3 linked regions of the Notamacropus eugenii genome follow. The protein of the gene in region 1 interacts with the protein of each later gene in a pairwise test. Links are inferred from orthologs where the notes say so. Each region holds a gene or a part of one and is shown in the gene's direction. Other genes may lie near its edges.

What was found. The genes of interacting proteins can lie anywhere in the genome.
Region 2: the proteins of SNRPA (region 1) and LENG8 interact in binary tests that used the Homo sapiens proteins (3 or more experiments, as listed by UniProt). The two-hybrid records come from large-scale screens. The link is inferred for Notamacropus eugenii from reciprocal best matches to the Homo sapiens genes SNRPA and LENG8.
Region 3: the proteins of SNRPA (region 1) and RBM42 interact in a two-hybrid assay, tested with the Homo sapiens proteins (2 studies listed by BioGRID and IntAct). The link is inferred for Notamacropus eugenii from reciprocal best matches to the Homo sapiens genes SNRPA and RBM42.

The regions. Positions count from the first base shown.
Region 1 is NC_092876.1:30,892,060-30,899,854, reverse strand, and holds the start of SNRPA (U1 small nuclear ribonucleoprotein A), read left to right. Parts: upstream 1-4,790; 5' UTR 4,791-4,893; intron 4,894-5,183; exon of another isoform or gene 5,184-5,643; intron 5,644-7,315; 5' UTR 7,316-7,338; coding exon 7,339-7,411; intron 7,412-7,581; coding exon 7,582-7,754; intron 7,755-7,795. Other genes in the region: ACTMAP (actin maturation protease), read right to left, coding at 612-925, 1,391-1,461, 1,571-1,700, 1,786-1,910, 3,016-3,084, 3,899-4,080. UniProt on the Homo sapiens protein: Component of the spliceosomal U1 snRNP, which is essential for recognition of the pre-mRNA 5' splice-site and the subsequent assembly of the spliceosome. U1 snRNP is the first snRNP to interact with pre-mRNA.
Region 2 is NC_092876.1:13,671,405-13,678,555, forward strand, and holds the start of LENG8 (leukocyte receptor cluster member 8), read left to right. Parts: upstream 1-4,147; 5' UTR 4,148-4,214; coding exon 4,215-4,344; intron 4,345-4,676; exon of another isoform or gene 4,677-4,849; coding exon 4,850-4,937; intron 4,938-5,121; coding exon 5,122-5,296; intron 5,297-5,453; coding exon 5,454-5,636; intron 5,637-5,716; coding exon 5,717-5,830; intron 5,831-7,151.
Region 3 is NC_092876.1:32,863,448-32,870,590, forward strand, and holds the start of RBM42 (RNA-binding protein 42), read left to right. Parts: upstream 1-4,139; 5' UTR 4,140-4,154; coding exon 4,155-4,351; intron 4,352-4,570; exon of another isoform or gene 4,571-4,977; intron 4,978-5,080; coding exon 5,081-5,195; intron 5,196-5,343; exon of another isoform or gene 5,344-5,372; coding exon 5,373-5,460; exon of another isoform or gene 5,461-5,550; coding exon 5,551-5,628; exon of another isoform or gene 5,629-6,115; coding exon 6,116-6,181; exon of another isoform or gene 6,182-6,295; coding exon 6,296-6,450; exon of another isoform or gene 6,451-6,806; coding exon 6,807-7,142; exon of another isoform or gene 7,143-7,143. Other genes in the region: HAUS5 (HAUS augmin-like complex subunit 5), read left to right, coding at 1,178-1,310, 1,449-1,560. UniProt on the Homo sapiens protein: Binds (via the RRM domain) to the 3'-untranslated region (UTR) of CDKN1A mRNA.

The DNA.
Region 1 (7,795 bases):
GGAAGTAGCAGAGCTGTGGGTTCGAGGCCAGACCTCCCTTCCCCCTCGCTGTCTTTTCACTACATACCCGCTGCCTCCCAAGAGTTCTAGCCTTAATTAAGCTTCTTTTCCTGGCCTGGAAGGGGGATGGAGGGGTGGGGGTGGGTCCTCTTTCTATGTATTTATAAAGAAGATTGGGCTGATGCTGGAAGAGATGGGATGGGGAAGGGACCTGGCCATTCCCTGAAATAAACAAAGCCTGATAAGACTGTTTTTCCACAAGTTTGGCTTCTGGTGAATTCCCTTCAGAGGGGAGTCTCAAGGGATCCACAGTTAGACAATACAGGATGCTCTTCTCATGCTGGCATGGCTGTTTATGAGACATTACATCCCCTCACCACACTCCACTACACAAAGGGGAAACTAAGTCCCAGGGCCAAGTAATAGCACAGACAGCCAGGACTAGGCCTTGGCTTCTGCTCTCCAGGTCCAACATTCCTCTACCACCAAAGCAGCTCGTTTGGGCCTCTCAGAATCTCCGTAGGACAGAGGATGGATGGGGAAACCAAGGACCTTAGCATCACACACGTGCACACACAGCAGGCCTGACTCCCAGGGGGAAGGTCTGAGTCCTAGGGTCGGAGCAGCAGGCTTTGGCCACAGAGGCCTGCTTGCACTCCGCCGGGAGGCACCACGTAGACCTTACCATCTGTGGTCCTGACTGGGGCCAGGTCAGTGAGCTGCAGGTTACTCTCACAAAGCTGTTCATAATCCCAAAGCTGGTAATGCCAGCTCTTGCCCTGCTTGGAGAGGAGGTAGACGGCCTCAGGAGGGTCTTCGGGGAGGAGAGGGAGCTTGTCAGATGCTGGGTAAAACAGGCCCTTCAACTCTGAGTCCTCTTCATAATCTGGGCTCAGTATTGGACTAGGAACTCCTAGCAGGAGGCCTGTGGGGGGACAGGGAGGGAAGGGCAATGACTGATCCCTGGCAGCTGACCTTACACACTTCTCTTCTGCCTGCCTCAGTTTCCTCATCAGTAAAATGTGGATAACAACAGCACCCACCTCCCAGGGTTGTAGCAAGGCTCAAACAAGATAACGTTTCTAAAGTGCTTAGTGCAGCACCTAGCACGGTAAGTGCCATGCATGGCACTTATTATTTTTAAGGCTCTTCTCCTTGGCCTTTCCCCAGGAAGTAGGAAGTCCAGCCCAAGGTGGGGATGGTCCTATCCCATTCCTTCCAGAGATGATGAACCCGATGCTGAGGGGGACAATCCTGGTCCCAGCCAGGGTCTCCAGCCACTGCCCCTGGGGGAAGGTGTGTTCTGAGGGCTAGCCGCTATTAAAGTAGCAGAGCTCTGCACTGAGGTCAAGGGTAGGGTGACCTCAGTCCCAACCTAAGCCAGAGTTACCTGCACCAACTGCCCAGTGGGCCTTGTGCCCCTTCTTCTTGCAGGGCTCATGGTTGTAGTCCTCATCATAGCTGGGCAGGGCCAGTCAAGGCCAAGACCTGGAGGGCAAGGAGATGTGAGCCCCTCTCTTGGTCCATACCACCCCAAAGAGTACCTGTGGCCCTAGCATGTAAAGGATACGGGACCAGCAGTGGGAAGCCTGCGATGAGGTGCTGGAGGATGTGGCATCGATTGGGCTCGCCCAGGCCCCCAGAGAGCAGCTCCACTTGGCATCCAAAGACCTCCTTGGCCAGCCTGGCCATACTGGCTGCTGCAGGGAAGAGGGGGAGGGTGTCAGTCCTAGGCAGATCTGGTCTGGCTAGATCACAGCTGCCATCTCCCCTGCTTTCACTGACCTGAGAACATCTCTCCTTGAGCTGTGTACCCTCTCTCCAGAGCCACGGCCACAATATTCTCCAAGGGGATGTCCTGGGGGAGAGCAAGCAGAGAGCCTGCCATCCACAGCGCTACCAACCCACACCTGAGAGGAGATGGAGGGCAAAGCAATGTCACCCCAGCCCTGAGGCCCCTCCCCAAACTCCAGCATGTTCCCAGGCCAGCCTACAACGGGAAGAGGAGGGACTTCTATATAGGCAGCATTCTGAAGAGACTAAGGAGAATTTTCCTGGAAGAAATCCAGGGCTAGAGTTGAGGGCTCATCCTGGGAGGCTGAGGGAACAGAAGGTGTGAGAAGAAACCCTAGGCCCCAAAATCTTGAAAGTGGGGAGAGGGCTCAGTGAGGTTTGGCAGGATGGAGGGACTGAGAAGGCTGGGGGAGTATTCTGAATTGGGTCAGCCTGGGGATCAGACCTGCCTGATGGGGGGAGCTGTGTACTAGGCATGAGGCCACAGAAGGGGACCTAGCCACTCATTCTCTCCTACTCTCCCTCCTTGGCTCTTTCCCCCTCGATGGAGCCTGGGATCCTCTCTGTGGCCTTGACTCTCACTCTGGGCAGTGGTGGCAGCACTAACATGAGTCAGTGACAAGGAGGACTGGCCCCTGCCCTGTCCAGACCCCTCACTGAGGAGCCTGGAGCAGCAAAGGACCTTCCTGGATTAGTCCAGGCTTTACTTTCTAGATGAAGAAACAGGGACTGAGCTGGGACTCAGACAGCCCAGTGGCTCTTTCCATGGTACTTGCTGGGTACCGGGAGCCTCGAGCACCTGGACGTGGATCCTGAGGACCTTTGTCAGTGTCTTGGCTAGGCAACAAGGATAGTATTAAAAGACTGATGGTGCTTCATGCAACCTGAAGCCATCTTCTCCAAGCAGGAGCTATTGTGCTCATCTCCCAGGCAGGAAGGCCCAGAGCAATGCACTGCTTGGTCCAAGGTCACACAGCTAGTCAGCAGGCAGGGCGGGCCAAGCCCAGAGTTCACAAATCCCAGCTCAGTGTGTCATCATGCAATACTGATCCATCCTCTGACCCAGCTTATGGAGGCACCTTCTGACCCCTGGTTCTTCCCCCCAAACATCTCACTGGGCCCATCTCAGCTCTCAAGGGTGGGTGGACTCTATCAAGGACCCCTGTTCTCTGCCCCATCCCAGGAGAGTGAAAGCGGCAGGGAGCGGGGAGGGCTACCTACTGAGGCCCTTCTTGGATGAGGGAGGGCACATCGGAGCAGAAGAGGATCCACTTCAGATCGCTCCTGAAACTGATGAAGACGCGTCATTGGCCAGAGTCCCCGGGAAGCCATCCAGGCCAACCTGCCACATCCCACCAGCTGGGGATGGTCTGGGTGAGATGACCAGAAGGAGGGGACGCCGCCCGTGGGGCGTTCCCTTCCCTTCATCTCATTCTTCTCCCCACAAGGGTGGGACTTGGCAGCCTCCGATGACATGCTAGGCTCATACTGTACGTTTTTACGAAATGAGGCAGGGCCATCGGGAGCCAAGGCGTGCCCCAGCTCTGCTTTCCCAGGCATCCACCTAACACCCCTCACGATCCTGGGAAGCAGATGGCGCACATACCATGGTCCTTGTTTCACAACAACAGCTAAGGTGGACAGAGTGCCTACTCTGTGCCAGGGGCTGCACTGCGCCCCTCAGGCCCTGGGGGCAGGGTCTGCAGTTATCCCTGCTTTGGAGATGAGGAAACTGGGGCAGGCTGAAGTGCAGTGACTCGTCCAGCACCCGTCTGAGGGCACAACCTGAACTCGGGGCACAAGTCTGCCGGATGGAGGTCACCCCCACGGCACCCCCCAGGCCAAGGCCTCCTGCTCCACCGGCTCAGCGGCTGTACGCCGAGGTCACTGGGATGCTGCCCATGGGGCGAAGCTCTGTCCCTTCCTGGCTGGGTGGACTCAGACCTTTCCCTGCTCCGGGACTCAGTTTCCCCATCTGTAAAATGCCAGTTGGGTCACACGATCCCTAAGGGGTGTGAGGTGTGGATGAGCCCCCCGCCCCCGTCTGGGCCCCTGGGGGGGACAGAGGCAGCGAGGCCGGGACCCCTGGGGAGTTGGGCCCTACCGGTCTCTGCGGAGCCTCAGGAGCCGGCGGACATCCTCCCGAACCCCCAGCCCCGGGTCCGACCTCGCCAGGGCTTCCTTCAGGAGCCGGCCCTTCTCGAGGCCGAAGACGTGGGGGGGGCTGGCAGGGGGGGCCGGGGGCGGGGGCAGCGGAGGGGGTGGGGGGCACCCCACGGCAGCCATGGCGGGGCGGGGTGCAAAGGGCACGGGCCGGAGGAGGAGGGTCTGGGGGCTCAGGCCCAGGGCCAGGTGGAGGCAGCGAGGGTCAGGGGTCAGCGGCCCCGAGGGCCCAGGGGAGGGACCGTCAGGGGTGAAGCGGGATGGGGGGAAGGGGTCTGGGGAACAAAGAGTGGAGCGGGGGCCCAGAATAGGTCAGGAGGAAAGGGGACTTTCCAGCTAACGAGTTCAAGTCTGGGGTCAGCCTCGGGGGCAAGAGGGAGGCCAGAGGGCAAAGGTCAGGCTGAGCCCGGTGCAGGTGCCAGCAAAGAAATGGGCTCCAGGGCCAAGGTCCAAAAGGCAGGAAGCAGCAGGGGGGAGGGCGAAAAGAAGGCTACCCAGGCCGAAGTTTCCGAGCTCCCGCCCACGCCCCCAAACCACCACCTTCTCAAGATGGCGGCCGCCGCCGAATCACGTGACAGACTGCCCCTCCTCCCCTTCCCCATCAGCGTCCATCCCCGCCTCCAGTAAGACTCCAAAGTATACGAGCTGCGTAACAGGCCATGCGCAGCGCACAAGGGCGCGGCGAAGGAAACGAGACTGCCAGACCTCCCCTTCTTCTTCTTGTCCATTCCAAGACGCGGCGGGAGTCAAAGATACGTTCTGATTGGCGAAGCCTGCGCAGGTGGGGCGGGGATATCTCTGGTTGGCCAGACGGCCAGACATCCTGCGCCTGGATTGGTTCTCCTTAGGATGGGGGCGGGGCCTAGCGCCGCTGAGCCCCGCGGAGGAGGGACCCGCCACAGAGCGACCGGCGGAACTCGCGGACGCACGCCATTAGTAAGTATTGTCCGCGGGCGGCCGTCATCGGGCCTGGGCTGGCGAAGTTTCTCCGCCCCGTACCTTCGGCCGCCGGTGTTCGGCGTCCCCCTCGACGACCCCACTCCCCAATCTGCCCCCTCCATCCCCTATCCGTTGCCCCCCCCACGGGCTCTCGCCTCCCGAGGAGGGGCGGGGCTACGCGAACGTTCGCCCTTGGCGGCGCGCCAGCCGGCCTCGGACACGTGGCCGGGAGCGCGCGCCCGGTGGCCTCCGCCGGTACCCTCCTCACCCCCTCTCCTCCCTCGCAGGCCCAGCCTCCGCGGTTCCGGGGGGGACCCGGGAACGCCGCTGCTCCGGGATCAGCCGCCCGGGGGCAGGCCCGGTGGTGCGGTGGCCGGAGCCCTGGATTTGGAGCTAGAGCTGGCGCCCGCGTGAATCGGGCAAGTCGCTCGGGGGGGACCTCGCTGACACCCCCGGCCCACAGCGCCCTGGTTAGCGTAAGCTCCCTGCGGCCGCCCAGGCCCGCGCCTGCACGAGGGCCCCGCGGTGTCACTTGGCCCTTTCGAGGCTCCCGCCCTCCATCTCCTTGGTCTTTGCCATCGTGAGCCTCTCCGACTTGCCTTGGCTCTGCCACGGCCCTCACCTTTCTGCAGAGCGCCGCCCTTCCACGGGGCCAAGTCCCTGTGTCCAAAACGGGACCCCTTCTCTTTGCCCCCAAAACGGTTGTTCTAATTCAGGGGCGCCACCGTCGATGCAGTCATCTCCAAGGTCGGCTCCTCACTGCGTTCATCCCCCTGTGTCCCGTCACTTGGGAAGCCCCCTCCACTGTAGGCTTCCTATTGCCCATCTCATACTGGCCCGGGGTACGGGCCCCTATTCACCTCTGTGTCTTTTTCCTGGGGCTGGCAGTGCCCTCCTTTCTTCCTCCTCTTAGGCTCCAGTGCCCATCAGCTGTGATGCTGTCCCAACCTCATGGGAAGCCTTTCCTTGGCCATGGGAGCTCATGCTCTTCCCCACCTGTTACCTGGCATGGGCGTCTCTTGGCCCAGGCTTGTCCTATTTCTCCCCCATTAGAATTAGAGTTCTTTGAGAGCAGGGACTGTTTGAACTGGGCCCAGCACATAGCAGGCTGAAATAAGTGATGATGGGGGAGGATTGAAATGGATGTTGGCCTGAACCACTGGCTGGGCAAGAAGATTGGGAGATACTTGGGCTGGGGCCATCTTGGAAGGCCTAGAATACCAATGAAGGCAACAAGGGTGTTGATGTGCTTTGGAGGCACCTTGTAATTGAAAGAGTCCTAGACCTGCTTTGAATCTCAGCAGGAGGTTCAAATTGGGGTTAAATGAGTTGTCTGGGGTCACACAGCTAGTAAGTGTCTGAGGCTGTAGTCCTGACTCTAGGGCTGGTGCTCTATCCACTTCAGTTAGCTGTCTCTCAGCTTTGAGTCTTAATGGTTCTAAGTTATATGCCTTTGAATCCTGCGTTCACCTCTTGTGTTTCTGTGTCCTCATATAAAAAATGGGTGTAGTGGTGTCCCTCCTTGCCTCACAGGGTTGTTGGGATGATAGGTAATGAGAATGTATTTCAGAGCACCATATCCAAAGAACTTCATGTTTGGTTTGGCCTCTGGTCTTGTCTGGGTGGGAGTTTCCCCAGATGTAGTCAGATCAACAGCTCATGTGGAACTTAGTGTTGTGCTTGCTTGTATCACAGAGCTCACAGAACTCGCCAAGGGTCCCCCAGGCAGCATGTGTCTGAGGCAGGACTCTGTTTCTTTAGGCTTCCCCTTGAGCCTGGGTGCCAGGCCCAGTGACCTTCCTCTTCTGTAGTTCCTTTACTCTTTCCTGTCCAGAAGGCTTGGCCATGGCATCCACATGGCCTTTTGGCACCTCTTGTAGTGTTAATGATTTTCTCATGCTCTTTGTTCCAACAAGCATTAGTTGAATTGAACTGAGAGCCTGCTTTGTGGGAGCCATCAATGAGATTGAATTCCATTTCCTTGGTGCTCTTTGTGAGTGAGCTCCATTTGTGGAGCCTACATCTTGTGGCTAGGAAGGTGCCTAGGATTGAGTTGGTGAGATCTCTGCTTTCTTCCCTCCTGCTGCCCCAGTCACTCTGGGAAGTTCATGGGAGACAGGATGGGAAGGGGAGAGGAGTCAGGCTTTCTCTGCTTGAGTCTAGAAGGCAGTACTAGAATTGGTGGGTGACAAGTTGTGGGGAGGCAGATTTTGGCCAGTTTGTAAACAGTAACTTGTGAGTTTCCCAGAAGTGTCCCAGGGCCCAGCGAGCTGCCTCATGAAGTCTTCTGGCAGATGTTGAAGCAAGAAAGGCCCCTTGTTGTCTTGCCTTTGGCCTAGGTGGTGGCCCTGGGATTCTTGGGACGAAGGGGCTGAAGGATGTCTCAAGCCGGACTAACCTAGGCCCACTGTTTTTTCAGGCCATATTCAAGGGTTTTCCACTATGGCAGTTCCTGAGTCACGTCCCAACCACACCATTTACATCAACAATCTCAATGAGAAGATAAAGAAGGATGGTGAGTGTGAGGCCCTTTCTTTCCCCCCAATCCTCGGAGTAGCCCATTTGAGGCCTGAGAATGAAGTCTCAGGGCCTTGGGCTGGGTCACCGAGTGTGGTGGCTGGGGTTTCCTCTTTCCCCTAGGGAGGCTGCTGCCTGACAGCCCATCTCGGGGCTTTCTTTCCCCAGAATTGAAGAAATCCCTGTATGCCATCTTCTCCCAGTTTGGCCAGATTCTGGATATCCTGGTATCGAGGAGCCTGAAGATGAGAGGCCAAGCGTTTGTCATCTTCAAGGAGATGAGCAGTGCCACCAATGCTCTGCGTTCCATGCAGGGTTTTCCCTTCTATGACAAACCTATGGTTAGCACTTTAACAAATTCAGGTCCCTTTAAGACAATGAT
Region 2 (7,151 bases), about 17 Mb from region 1:
CCCAAAAAAAACCCACAACAAAATCCTTGTCTGTCTGCCCTCTGGGGCCAAAGAGAACATTTCTAATTGCTCCTTCACTCAAATGTTCTTCAAATACTCATAGAGAGGTCTCAGGTCTCCCTTGAGTCTTTTCTCCTTCAAATAAGCCAACCCTGGTTCCTTCACCTGATCTTCATAGGGTAGGGACTGTCTTCTTGAAACTGCTTTGCCTTTGCCTGTGTTACTGTAGTTTTCTAATAAAATGTGAGGTCCTGAAAAAACTACTTAGCACCTAGTACACTGCCTCAAACATAGCAGGCACATGGTGTTTGGTGAATAGGTTCTCACCTTTCTAGTTATCTTTCCTCTGATCCTCTCCAGCTCATCAAAATCCTTCCTGAAAGTAGGTGCCCAGAACTGAATACAAAATTCCTGGGCAAGGGAGAGGACCTTCATCTCCTTAGGGACAGGGAAGAGGGAATGGGGAAGCTTGTCCATCTTGGAGCTGGAGGATTTAGGATCTATATCTCAGCACTTTATAGATTGTGAACCTCTCTGGGCATCACTCTTGTCCCCTGCAATATGAGGGGGTAGGACTGGATGGCTTCTGAGGTCCCTTTCACTTTGAAGCTGTTACAGGCCTTATTTCTAGATGCTGTTTCCCTGGATGCATCCTAAGATTGGACTTTCTTTGCTGCCACAGTGCCTTGTTGACATAAATCTAGCTTGCAGTCTTTTTCAGGCTGATGGCTGCCTAGTTGTGAGCACAGCAGATAGCTCATGAAACTTGGAGTAGGAAGTCAAGTTCAAATCCTGCCTCATCACTCACTAGATGTGTGACCCTGAGCAAATCACTTAAACTCTCTGTGCCTCAGTTCATTATCTGTAAAATGGGGATAATAATAACACTTGCCTCCAAGGGCTGTTGTGAGGATCCAATGAGAAAACATAAAGTGCTTTGCTAACTTAAAAGATTACATTGAGGTTAACTATAATTTTATTGCATTCATGAAGTGGGTTTTGCAAAAATCCAAATGTAAGACATTTCTCTAAAATTTCATCTTATTGGCTTCTGCCTGGTGTTCTGGCACATCAAGGTTTTATGGAACTGTGACTCCATTTTTTCCTTTCCTTACAAGTTTAATTGTGGACATTTGTATCCATATCATGGTCATTTCTGGATATAGCAAAGTTAATTGTTACTCCTTCCCCCACCCCCAACCCCCAGATCTACACCTTGTAACAAAGAAGAACATTCTAGCAAAACAACTGATATAGCGAACCAATCTGGCCCTTCTGCCCTCCTGGTTTACAGAGGGGAAGTCTGGGTTATTATCTGCCCTCTGGAATCATCACTGGTTTTTCACTTACTCAGACTTCAACTTCCTTTGAGTAATCTTTTCACTGTTGTAATCATGGCTCTTCAGGTTCTGCTCATCTCAGTCACTTGGGGCAGCTAGGTGGTGCAGTGGATAGAGCACCAGTGCAGGAGTCAGGAGGACCTCAGACACTTGACACTCACTAGCTGTGTGACCTTGGGCAAGTCACTTAACCCCACTTGCTTCATCCTAGGTCATCTCCAGTCATCCTGATGAATATCTGGTCACTGGATTCAGATGGCTCTGGAGGAGAAGTGAGGCTGGTGACCTGCACAGCCCTCCCTCATTCCAAACAAAGTCAAGTGCAAGTCATGTCATCATTTCTCTGATGGCATGGTCTTCTTCAACAATGAAGGATGAACACACACATCTCAGTCACTTATTAGTTCATACAAATCTTCCTGTGATTCCCCAAGTCGTCATATTATTTCTCATGTCACCATTTATTTAATCCTTCCCTGACTGAGATGGTGCTTACTTAGTTTCCAAATTTTTGGTAACACTTAAGGGCTGCTGTGATTTGTCTGGTGTCCATTGGTACTTTGTGTCTGTCTTTGACCTCCAAGAGGACATGGCAGCTTTTCTAACCAACTTTGCATCATCTTTGAGTTTGATAGGGATATCATCTAGGTCTATAGTCAGTCAACAAGAACTGATTAAGCACTTACTCTGTACTAAGACCTGGGGATACAAAGAAAGGCAGCAGCAGAACATATTCTAATGAAGAGACACAGATAAATAACTACATATAGCCAAGATACATACAGAGGGCAGGTCATCTCAAAAGGGGAGGCATTGGCAGTTGGGGAGGAGTGAGGCAGGAACAGGTAGCGCAAAAGTACTGAGATGGGAGATGGAGGGTCATGGGCAAAGTCATTGATGAAAATGTTATATGGAACAAGGCTGAGAATACATTCCCTGGATCACTTCACTGGAGAGTTTCTTCCTAGCTGACAAGAAACCAAGAAGGATTAGTCTTTAGGTCCAATATCCTACCAGTTCCAAACTTAATTGGATTATGGTCCAGCCCCAATGTCTCCACCTTTTCCACAAGAATAACACAAGGAAGGAATGAGGGAAGGGAAACATTTATTAAGCACCTACCAAGTGCTAATGATGTGCTAAGCACTTTAGATATTTTGAGGTAGGTTCTACTGATATTCCCATTTTCCAGATGAGGAAACTGAGGTAGAGGTTAAGTGATCTGCTCAGGGTCTCCGAGTTAGTGTATGAAGCTGGATTTGAATTCATGACTCCAGGTTCAGGCTGTATTTACTGTGCCACCTAGTTGCCTCTAGCTGACTTTGTCAAAAATCTAGAGAAACAACATACAATATTACTATGATTTAACAGGTGAATACATGAAAAAACAATACTAAGGTTACTGTGGCATGATCCGTTCTTGATGAGACAGCCCACAGGGGCTTCTTGGAGCCACCATTTGCTTCTTTTGAAGATCATTAATCAGTCCTTTAATGATCTGCTCTGGAAAATTATCGATGATGGTTCCACAATCACTTCTAATGGTTCTGCCAGTGCCTAGGGTCACAGGTCATTGGAGAAGTATTCCCAGAATTGATTCGGGGCAACAAGGTGCCCTCAGAACGTGCCCTCTCTTCTTTTCTCTTCTTGTTCTGTGATCTGTACAGCTTAGGGATAACTCTGGTGGTCTGACTCCTTTTTGGTTTCAGAGGCCACATCTGCATCTGCCTTTTCTCTGCCCCCTTCAGTGCCAGGTCATGACTGGGGTCTCTTCCCTCTGTGCTGCCCTCTTAGTGCCCACATCTCCTCCCTCTTTGTACCACCTCAGCACCCAGGTCAGAACTGGAGTCTCCCCTCTGTCCCTAGGTCCTGGCCATGTCTCCTCTCTCTGTGTACACCCCTCCCCCCCCAGTACCCAAGTCACTCCCGGGCCTCCTCTGTTTGCACCCTCCAGTGCTGGGGTCTCCTCTGTCAGCTGCTCCTCCCTTCTCTCTCTCTCTCCCTCCCTTCTCTTTCTTTCCCTCCCCCCTTCTCTTTTCTCTCCCTCCCTTCTCTTTCTCTCCCTCCCTCCCTCCTCTCCCTCCCTTCTCTCCCTCTCTTCTCTTTCTCTCCCTCCCTCCCTCCTCTCCCTCCCTTCTCTCCCTCTTCTCTTTCTCTCCCTCCCCCCTTCTCTTTCTCTCCCTCCCTCCCTCCTCTCCCTCCCTTCTCTCCCTCTCTTCTCTTTCTCTCCCTCCCTCCCTCCTCTCCCTCCCTTCTCTCCCTCTTCTCTTTCTCTCCCTCCCCCCTTCTCTTTCTCTCCCTCCTCTCCCTCCCTCCTCTCCCTCTCTTCTCTTTCTCTCCCTCCCTCATTCTTTCTCTCCCTCCCCCCTTCTCTTTCTCTCCCTCCCCCCTTCTTTCTCTCCCTCCCCCCTTCTCTTTCTCTCCCTCCCCCCTTCTTTCTCTCCCTCCCCCCTTCTTTCTCTCCCTCCCTTCTCTTTCTCTCCCTCCCTTCTCTTTCTCTCCCTCCCCCCTTCTCTTTCTCTCCGTCCTTCCCTTCCCTCCCTCCCTTCTCCCTCTCTTTCTCTCTCACCCAGCTCAATACTCTACGATGAGCCTCCTCCCTCCTCTGCCCTAGTTCAGTTGGGGCGGGACTTGTCCCGGGGGCGGGCTCATTACGCCACTGCAGCTCTCATTGGCTGACGTTCGGAGTACCTTACCCCACCCCCACCCCCAGCCCCCTCTCCGCTTAGGCCTCCAGTACGGGAGGGCGTGGCTGGATGGGGAAGCAGTCCCAGTCTCACCTCTCATTGGTCCTTCGGATGGGCATTTCGAGTCTTTAAAGCGCCGGTCGGGGAGGGGAGCGGGCCCGTACGGGACCTCCCATTGGCCCCCGCGATGGCCACGGGGCGGGGCCCGCGGCGGCGTGCTGACGTTGCGCGCGTGCGCTCCCTCGCCACGTCCCTTCCTCCTCTACTACCGTCCCTCACGCGTTGGACTCAGCGCCGGAGGAAGAAGCTGCCGTCAGGTGAGCTAGCCTTTGGTGCCGCCATCTTGGGCAGGGCCGGGCCGCGGGAGTGGGACGAGAGGGTCTGGCCGTCGCGCTTTTTGTGCGCTTTCAGGGTTCTGCCGGGGCTCGAGGCCCCGTTCCCCGCCATCCCCGCTCACGGGCCCGGGCCAACGACCGCGGCGCGCGCCTCGGCTGCGGGGCGGTGGCGCCGCTGCGCATGCGCGCTGCCCGTCTGGCGCCGGCCGCTTGGGCGTTTGCGTCTCAGAGGCGCCGTTGCGCATGCGCTGCCCCCGCCCTCTCCGGGCAGTTTGGAACTCGGGGTTTGGAGGCGCGCGCCCGTGGCGGGGACGGTGCCGTGGGGGCGAGCGTGTCCCCGGGGCGCAGGCGCAGAGGCGGGGTGGCGGGCCGCCGGCCCATCGCCTCCGGAACGCCGGCCCCGCCGCGACTCTCCGTAGTCTGGGGCTCCCGGGTTGGGTGGGCGAGCAGGGGGAGCTCCCGCCTCACCTCCGTCCTCTCCCCGAAGCCAGACGCAGGCCGCCGTCCCGGGGCCCCGGTGCCCAGCCCGAGGTCCGAATGGCCGCCAATGTGGGGGACCAGCGGGGAGCCGAGTGGTGAGTGGTGTGGGGGCTTCCCCGGGGGGGGCATCCAGGAGTGTCTGCGGGGGGCCAGGAGGGGGTGCCCCCAGCAGCGTCCGGGCCCTACGGGCATGGGGGCCGTGTCTTGGGGCCCCCTTGGCCGCCCTGCCCCCGCGCCTCCGGGTTCCATGAGTCTGTGAGGTCATGTCCTGTGTGGCAGGGCGGCCCAGTACAGCCTGGGGAGCGGGCCGGCCAGGGAGAGCGCCATGGACGCGCCCATGCACGAGAACCCCGAGTGGGAGAAGGCCCGCCAGGCCCTGGCCAGCATCAGCAAGGCCAGCGCCACGGGCAGCTCGGCCAAAAACAGCAGCAACGGCCAAGTGGCTGCGGCCCAGGTGAGCGGGGCTGCCCCTGTGGGGGGGCGGGGGGGGCAGCCCCCGAGCATCTGGAGGTGATGGGAGCCCACCCCTGAGCTTCCTAACTGTGCTGAAGAGCATGAGGCCAGGTGGCCGGAGCGGAATCATTCTTGCCCCTTCCCCTCTTTTCCCCAAGTGTGTTTCGGAGCACCTGGGAGGAGGGTGTGTGTCTGTGTCCCTCACTCTGTGCCCTGCCCCCCCACCTGTGTCCCTTCAGTATGTGGCTCAGGCCGACGCCGCCGCGCTCCAGCAGCAGCAGTACTATCAGTGGTACCAGCAGTACAACTATGCCTATCCCTACAATTACTACTACCCTATGGTGAGTGCTGGGGGCTGGAGGGAGGGGGCCAAAGTGGAGTCCGCGTTGGCGTCCCCACTGACCGCTGGCCTGTCTCCTAGAACATGTACCAAAGCTATGGCTCCCCAGGCCAGTACAGTCTGACCACCACCTACGCGACAGCAGCACCGCAGCAGGCGGCGACCCCTGGGCAGCACCAGGGATCTCTCACCCAGGTAAAAAGCCTTAGGCTCCCACGATCTCAGCTCTGCTTCCCAGGAGCCAGAGGGCTGTGGCCTGTGTTTAAGCATTTGGGCTCTGGGCTGGGATCAGTCAGAAGGTCATAGATTCCTTGTTGGAAGGGACATCAGTCTACCTTTATCCAAACTCTTTGTTTGCCAGATGAGGACACTGAGGCCTGTGGAGGTGAAACACTTTCCCAGGGTTGTAGAGTTACTAAGGGTAAAACCCTGATCCTTCTTATTCAGTGCTCTTTCTGCTTAGTTAAGCTGTAGCTCATCTTGCCGGGCAGAGGGGATGACAAATCTCTGTTAATCCAGCTTTGGCTGCTGCCTCATGGGGAGATCCAAGGAGTCTCAGAGCCAAAGATTGCAGGGCCTCATAGGGCCTTGGATCACATGACTTAAGGGAAAGAGACCTGGGCTCTGGGCCAGAAGGCCTGGCTGAAAGCCTGGCCTCCAGCATTTATTGGAACGTGCTCCTGTGGGCCAATGTCTGTTTCCCCCACGTAAAGAGGGAATAGGGCCGGATGGCCTCCAAAGTCACTGGTGTGGGACAGAGAGCAAATTACTTTTCTAAACTTGAGCTTTCTTGTTGATAAAATGGAAATCCTTTGCACAGTCCCAGGGTACGTTGACATGGAAGGAGAACTCTTGCATTGGTCCAAAAGCACTCCGTTGATAGATTGCTGTTATACATCCCCAGCTCCATGAGCTTCTGCCCTTGTCTTTTATCTCTGGTCTTGGGTTTGCTCATCTGTCAAGTGGTAGGGCTGGCATTGGTGGTCCCAAGGACCCTTATTTGTCATATTAGCTATTGCCTCACACTGTCAGCCTCAGGGATTTTTAACCATGAAGAAATTTCTGGTGATTCTGAATTGGACAGGCAAAAAAAAAAAAACATTGTGTCTTTGTAGTCACTTCCTATGGAAATGTAGCATTTTCATCAGTTAAGGATCTTCAAAAAAAAAAAAAAAAAGCAACCCCAACAGTCTTCTGAGAAGAGGAGTCAGTAGGCACAGTGGGGGCCATAAATCCTTCCTCCCCTTCCCCCAAGCCAAATGTTTGGAACAGTGGGGTCAAACTTAAGTAGAAACAGATCTCTGTGGGTCACCTGTAAAAGTAGGAAAAAAAACAAAATAACACTGCGTTCTACATCTCGTTAAATATGTCTCGATTACCTTTTAAATATGTTTCATCTGTTTGAGGCCACCCTCATGGGCTAAGTGACTGGGGCCCAGAGTTTGATGTTTGGTTTAGACTGTGGCTTTGGCTGTTTAGATCTTCCCTGCAGTAACTACATTTCTTACCTTGCCAG
Region 3 (7,143 bases), about 2.0 Mb from region 1:
CTTCCAAAGCCCTCTGCTCTTCCAAGGTCCAGAGTTCTGGATCGTCAAGGCCTCTTTGGCAAGTCAGGCCAGGGACCCCAGAGCCCTGCAGCACCCTGGTCTGAACAACATTCTCCCTTCTCAGGGCCCTTCCTGTTTGGGGCTTTTGGGGGGAGCACTTCATTCTGGCTGCCCATACAGGCTGCCCTTGGCCCTGGCCCTTTTCTGGTTGTTCTAGAAGGCTGTATAGTCTTCCTTGCTCTGCTGATGGGCCCTTTTTCTATGGCCTGTGGACTGATGACTTTTGGTGCAGTTTTGGGGTGGAAGAAATCACTTTTTGCAGTTTTCAGTCTATTTCTTGGTCATTATTCAGTCTGGAGTAGATTTCAGGTTTTTGCTGAAGTAGGTGTCCAGGAGTTGGGTAGGCCTCAGTATAGACAGCCATCTCAGCCAGAAATCCCCTTCACCTCAGGCCCAATCACCTCGATGATCTCTACACCCCCTCCTTCTGCCACATGGCTAGCTCTTGGCAGCAGAAATGCATGTGTGGATAGTGTAGAGGCAGAATGCCTGGGGTCCAGCACCAGGGGATGTTTGAGGTCAAGGAAAGGGAGGCGTCAAGGAGAACACAAAGGTTCGTGGGAAAAAAATGGCCCACGCAGTGCTCTTCACACATGTGCAACTTTGAATGCCCAGACCTCAGCAGATGAAAATCAGATTAATCTGGAGGAGGTGAACTCAAAACAATGAAGTACCTGAAATGCTGTGATTCAGAAGACCCCTTGGACTCCTTGGCTCTGTGGAGGTTGAATTTGATGATGATGGCCAAGCCAGACTTGCTGGTGCCTGTGCATTTATTTGTGCAGGCCATGCCATCTGCCTGTAGAGAAGACAGTCCTTCCTCATCTTTGGCCAGGCTCCCATCTCCTTTGTAAAACCTGAAGCAGTTTCCCCAGATAAAAGTTATCTGCCTCCTTAAATTTTCCAAAAACATTGCATCTTATTCTATTTTCCAACCTTTTCACTCTCCCTTGTTTCTCTGCAAGACTTTTCTGCCTTTTAGACTGAAAAGTCCTTGAGGGTAGGGACTGGATCGTGTATGTGAAAATCCCACTGCCAAACGAGGTCCTGCCCAGTGGAAGGGGTTAATGGATGCTCACTGAGTCACGTTGAATTGCTTCCTCCCCTCCCCCCCCAGAACTACTTCAGATCCAGGAATCTGAGGAGAAGAAGCAGCAAGAGCACCTGGGGCCCATCCTGCATCGCCTCGAGGAGCTCATGGAACAGGGACTGGACCACATCCCCCAGCTACTGAAGGCCGTGGGGGACTGGTGAGAGGGGGTGCCCTGGTGCTGAGGGACCCGGGGTGGGGGCTGAGGAGAACTGAGAAGGGGATGCTCCAGACCTGGGCTGGAAGGAGGATCCAGGACCTCCAGGGACCTAGCCTGTCCCTGCCATCTCGCCCCCAGGTGGGACCAGCCAGGGCAGAATGCACTTCCCGAAGAGCTCCAGGACCAGGATGGCCTCTCCCTCCAGCAGTGGAAGCTTCGCTGGGCACGGGCCCAAGGACGAAGAGCCTGAACGCTGAGGTTTGGAGCAGAAGCACAGAGCCAGACAGTTATTGGACTTGAAAAGAATTGGTTTCATCCTTTCACTGTTAAAGTGACAAATTCCTGCTCCCAGTAAAGTGCTTAGAGATTTCAGGACCAGGGCTTTTCTCTGTGCATTTAACCTCTGACCCTTAAACTTCTCCAGTCCTTCAGTGCCCCTGGACCAACTCATGTGCTCTTGGCCCTTGACGTGTCTGGCCTGTTCCCTCAGTTAAAACAAGAGGAGGCAATCAGGGTTTCCTGGGGCAGGATAGGAAATCAAAGACTTGAGATACTCCTCTAAGGAAGGGGGTAGGGGGAGCAGATCTGTGCCAGGTGGACCAGATGATGGGGTTGGGAGCGGAGGGTGAAAGAAGCTCCCACTGTGAAGGTTCTTAGGACAGAGACCAACCCCTTGGAAGGGAAGAAAATCTGACCATGACCTAAGAGCTGGTTTCCACACTGGCACCCTCAGGGTGCCCTTGGCTCCCCCTGGCACATGTTAACATATTGGGGAGGAGGGACTGGCAGTAGAATGTGTAGGGTACCTCCCTCTCCTTAAGTTTGGCCAGGGCTGTGGTGGCCCTTTCCTGGGGAGGATACAGTGGCATCTTTACTCCTGGTGGCCCTGGGGCCACATGGGGACCGGGTTGTTCTCATGAAATTTTAGCCTTCCTGGATTTTTTCCCAGTATTCAAGGACTGAACAGGAGGGCCTGCTTCAATGTGTAGTATATCTTAGTAATGGGAGATGCTTCAGGGATCTTGGATCCCTATGGAAGTGAGTCCCCCCCAGAGTTCCCAAAAAAGGGAAATGCTTCCCCAGGCCCTGGGGTACTCGGCTGCCATTTTCTCCTCAAGGTCTTGCTTAGGAGAGTAGCAGTGTATTTATTGGGGAGTGGAGACAAGGCAGGGGAAGGGGCCAGACCCTGAGCCCCTGCTGGAGAGCCATGCCCTCTGAGATGCGGTGCTTCAGCGCTTTGCTGTCTGTCAAAGCTTTGTACTCCCAAGGTACTTAGACTTCCCCACAGATCCCAGCCAGGAACAGGATGAACCTGGAAAACTAAAGGGCTGGCTGCTGTGTCCCCTGTGTTCCCCCCCCCCCCCCCCCCAGCCCCATATGCTTTCCCCATTCCCCAGGAAACCTAAATTCCAGTGACCTGGCTGAAAAATCAGGGACCACAGCCCTATCCTGACTCCTATCCAATCTCGACCCTAGGTCTCCTCTGTTTCTTTGCCTTTTGAAGGCAGGAAAGAGGGGGTCTGTGAGGTTCCTTCCGAGTGTGAAATTTGGGATCCATTTTATTATTCCTCAGTTCGTGTTAATAGGAGTTGAATGTGACCTTACTCAAATCACTTCCCGTTTCTGGGGTCTCAGCAAGGCAAGGACTTGGACTGGACCAGATGATCCCCAAGGCTCTCTTCTGGGTCGGGTTGAGAGGTGGTAGCAGAAGCTGTTGGCCTCCTTCCCAAAGCCCCCCTCTGCAGTAAAGGCCTCCACTCCCTCTACCCCCCTCAGGAATCCGGGCGCTTCAGTTACCAGCCCACAAACCTTCAGTGTTGCCTCTGAGGCTCTAGTAAAGCCCAGCTGCAGCACTCCACTGGAGGAGTCTGCACGAAACCGGGTGCTCCTGGGAGTGGGGAGGGACTGTTCCCCAAGGCCATTTGTCTCAGTCTGCCTACCTCCAGGGATCAGGAGAGTCCTCCGAGCCTTCTCTGGCCTCAGCTAGACCTGGCATTTCCTACTTCTCCCTAGAAAAGGCTCATCTCGGCTTCTAGCTGGATATGCTCCCCGGAAAGAGTTTTCCTCCCATACCCTGGCAAAGGTGATCATCCCATCTTTTCCCACTCGTGCTTCCCTCTTCGGTTTTGATAGCTAATAGTATTTCTGTAACGCACATTGGGCAGACGTGTCCTGGGAGGGAGGTGTATTGTCTTTATTTTACAGATGAGGTAACTGAGGCTCGAGGTTTAGTGACGTGGACGGCGCGTGCTTACAGCTCGTAAGCGCTACACCCCGTGCTCGGGCCCTTCCCATCTGCTTACACTTCGGATCTCCCCAATCTTAAAAGGCTTCACAACCCGTATCACTGAGCTATGCATCCCCCACTCTTTCCTTGTTCACCTATTAAAACTGGCTCCTTGCCGTGCCCCCCGAGCCTGCACCCTCTCGCTCCGGGGGACTCACGAAGGCTTTCTTTCCGGGCTCACCAGCCTGCCAGCGCCTCCTGAAAACCGGCCTTTCAAGGCTCTACTACCCCAGGGCTCCCCACTGCAGCCCCTGCACTTTCCAAGTAGAAAAGCCAGAGCGGCGAGAATTTGACGGAGTCCAGGCAACACTCGGGCCAGTTATAGGCGGGCTAGGGATTAAACCCGAGTCCCCAGCTCTAGACCAGGAACGCCCCCGCCCTCCCAGCAGGAAAACAAATCTCCCCCGACACTACTGGCCGATGGAAACAAAGTTGCAGGCTGGGGGCGTGGTCTCTGGTTCCTTGCGCTCTCATTGGCTCAGGAGGCAAGGAAGCAACTGCGCTTGCGCGCCTGCCGGACTCGCATAAAGCGAAGCTGATTGGTGCCACTTGAGCGCATGCGTTCTGCGTCATCGGCGTGCGTCGGCAAAGAGAGACAGACGGCGGAAGCGGCTGTGGCGACGACGATGGCTGGGACAGGGCCGCCCCCGGGACTCCCGGGTGCGGGGGTAGCGTTGCCCTCGGGCCCAGGGCCCTGCGTGCCCGGGAAGAGCGGCGAGGAGCGACTGAAAGAGATGGAGGCGGAGATGGCGCTGTGAGCCCCTCCCTCCCCCCGCCGCGCCCGAGGCCGGGCCGGCAGTCCCTCTGCCTCCGTGCCGGGGAGCCCGGGAGCGGGGAGGGCCGACCTCGTGGGGGTGGGGCAGGGAAAGGGGGCGGGGCCTACCCGTTGTCTCCGGTCCTCTGGCTGGGCCTGGGAAGAGCGATCCCGCACCGCCCGCTGCCTCTGGCCCCTCCTCGGGGGTGAGGCCGCCTGTGTCCCCGCCTCCCTTCATCTCCCATCCCTGTGGGTCCCGTCTCTGAGACCTCACCTGCTCTAGACGACTCCCTTCGGCCCTAAGGCTGGACGTCTCTGCCCCTGCTCCGTGTCTTCTCTCTGGATGTATCTTTCCGTCTCGTTCTCTCTTGTTGGTGTGTTTGTCTCCGTGTCCCTCCGGAGGTGGCTCGGGCTCTGCGTAGTCCTGATTTTTTATCTTCTTTTTACTTTCCCTGTCCACGTCCTGGTCTTAGTTTTTGCCTCACTCTTGCTGTTTTTTCTAAACTTTTTCTTTGTCCGATTACTTCCATCTTTCGTGGTGTCTCTTAATCTTCGTCTGACTCCCATGTTTTTCTTTCTTATACTTCTCCCTCTGTCCTTCAACATTCCCAAGTCTCCTTCCGAGCCTGCAAAGAGAGAGGGTTGGACCAGGTGGCTTCTGAGATCCTTTTTGGCACCAAACCCAGTGATTCTTCTGTGTGTCTAAGTCATTTCTTCTTTCTGTCTCAGGTTTGAGCAGGAAGTCTTGGGGGCTCCAATATCTGGAATTCCAACCCCAGTTGTACCAGCTGTGGAGCCTGCACCTGTGATCCGCCCAATCATTGCCACCAACACCTACCAGCAGGTAGGGCGGTCTAGTGTACCTTCTGGTGGATGTGTAGACTCTTACCATTCAACTAGTTCCTCAATTCCAAACCAGCTTTTATTCTTTGTTCCACTTGTCTATTAGTCTAGACTCCCAAGAAAAAGGGAATTTGAGCTCCCTCACTGACCACTTTCTCTTGTTCTCCCTCCTGGTCAGGTCCAGCAGAGCCTGGAGGCCCGAGCAGCGGCAGCAGCCACAGTAATTGCTCCCATTGTAGGTCCCCCTGGCCCCTTTGTGGGTCCTGGTGAGTTGGGAAGGACGTAAGAGGGAGGGTGGGTCAAGAAGGAATAGTCCAGAAGGTCCCCCCACCAATGCAGTTTCTTCTCCTCTACAGTTGGCTTTGGTCCTGGAGGAGATAGAGGTCGTCTCGACAGCCCTGAAGCCCGGGATGCCATGTTCCTTCGCCGGGCGGGTCAGTGCCCAGGACCCAAAGCCTAGAATTCAACATTCTCTGCCCCTAATACACACACGCTTAGTGCCCATACCTCCACCTCCAGTAAATATTTAGCCTACCCAGGAAATCCCTCCAGGACAGTCACAAAATCCTGAGACTCCCCCAGAATTTTTTCCTGAGCCCTTAGAACTCCCCAACAATTCCACAATGCCTCTTCAGAGATATTTCTCCCAACCATGGTACCTTTCCAGAGACCTAACCCCAAGGGACCCCAAAAGATACCGTCAGGCCCTTTAAAACCATCTAACCCCTAGATACCCAACCGCTCCTCCCACATACAGATCTCCCAACGATCTCAGGACTCCCTGAGATTCAAAAGACTGATTCAGAGGTGCCAGCAGTGACCCTAGGACCCTCTCAACCCCTGAACCCCTGAGGCCTTCATTCAAAGACCCTGAAACATGGTCCTTCACACCCTGTCTCCATCTCTGTCTGTGTCTCTCAGCAGTGCCCCCGCAGCGTCCCCCCATCCTGCGCCCAGCCTTCGTCCCCCATGTGCTGCAGAGAGCGGGTGAGAGAAGGGCCTAGGGAATGTTCCTGGCCCGGCCCCATCCCCTCTTTGGCGTCCCCGGCACCTCAAAGATCCAGGGACCCCCTTCACCACACACTTTCTCTTTCTCTTTAGCAGGTGGCCCACGCCCCATGGCTCTTCGGCCCCCACATCAGGCCCTGGTTGGGCCTCCCTTACCTGGTCCCCCTGGACCTCCCATGATGTTGCCACCAATGGCCCGGGCACCAGGACCCCCACTTGGCACAATGGCGACCCTGAGGCCTCCCCCAGTGAGTGTGCAGGGCATGTGAGAAGGGAATGCCTGGGGATACAAACATCCCTATTGTAAACCCTAGAACCCAGCCCCCAACTTTAACAGTATCATCTGGATCTCCCCTAGATGTCTTTGGTTTCTCTGCATCTCTCTATGTTTTCCTTTCTTGTTCTTTCTCTATATCTGTTTCTTTTTTCTTGTCTCTTTTCTCTCAAGCTCTGAACCCACTCAGGTACTCCACAGTCTGAGCTGGGAGTGCCTGCTGACCCTGGGTGGGGGCCAGCTCCCCATGCCCTCCCCATCCCTGGCTCTGAGGCCCTTTGTTCCCTTCTATTTCTCTTGATAACCTTCATCTCCTTGTGTTTTTGTCAGGAGGAGCCTCCGGCCCCTCGGGAACTAGGCCTAGGCCTGGGCCTGGGTCTGAAAGAGAAAGAAGACGCTGCTGCTGTGGCTGTGGCAGCTGCTGCGGCTGCAGGGCTTGAAGAAGCAGGGGCAGCTGTGGGGGGCCCAGGAGCTGCAGCAGTCATTGGGCCCAGCCTCCCCCTGCCCTTGGCCATGCCGTTGCCTGAGCCTGAGCCCCTGCCTCTACCCCTGGAAGTCGTTCGGGGACTGCTTCCACCACTTCGAATCCCTGAGCTCCTGTCCCTAAGGCCCAGGCCCAGGCCCAGGCCTGAGCCCCAGCCACCCCCAGGACTCATGGCCCTCGAGG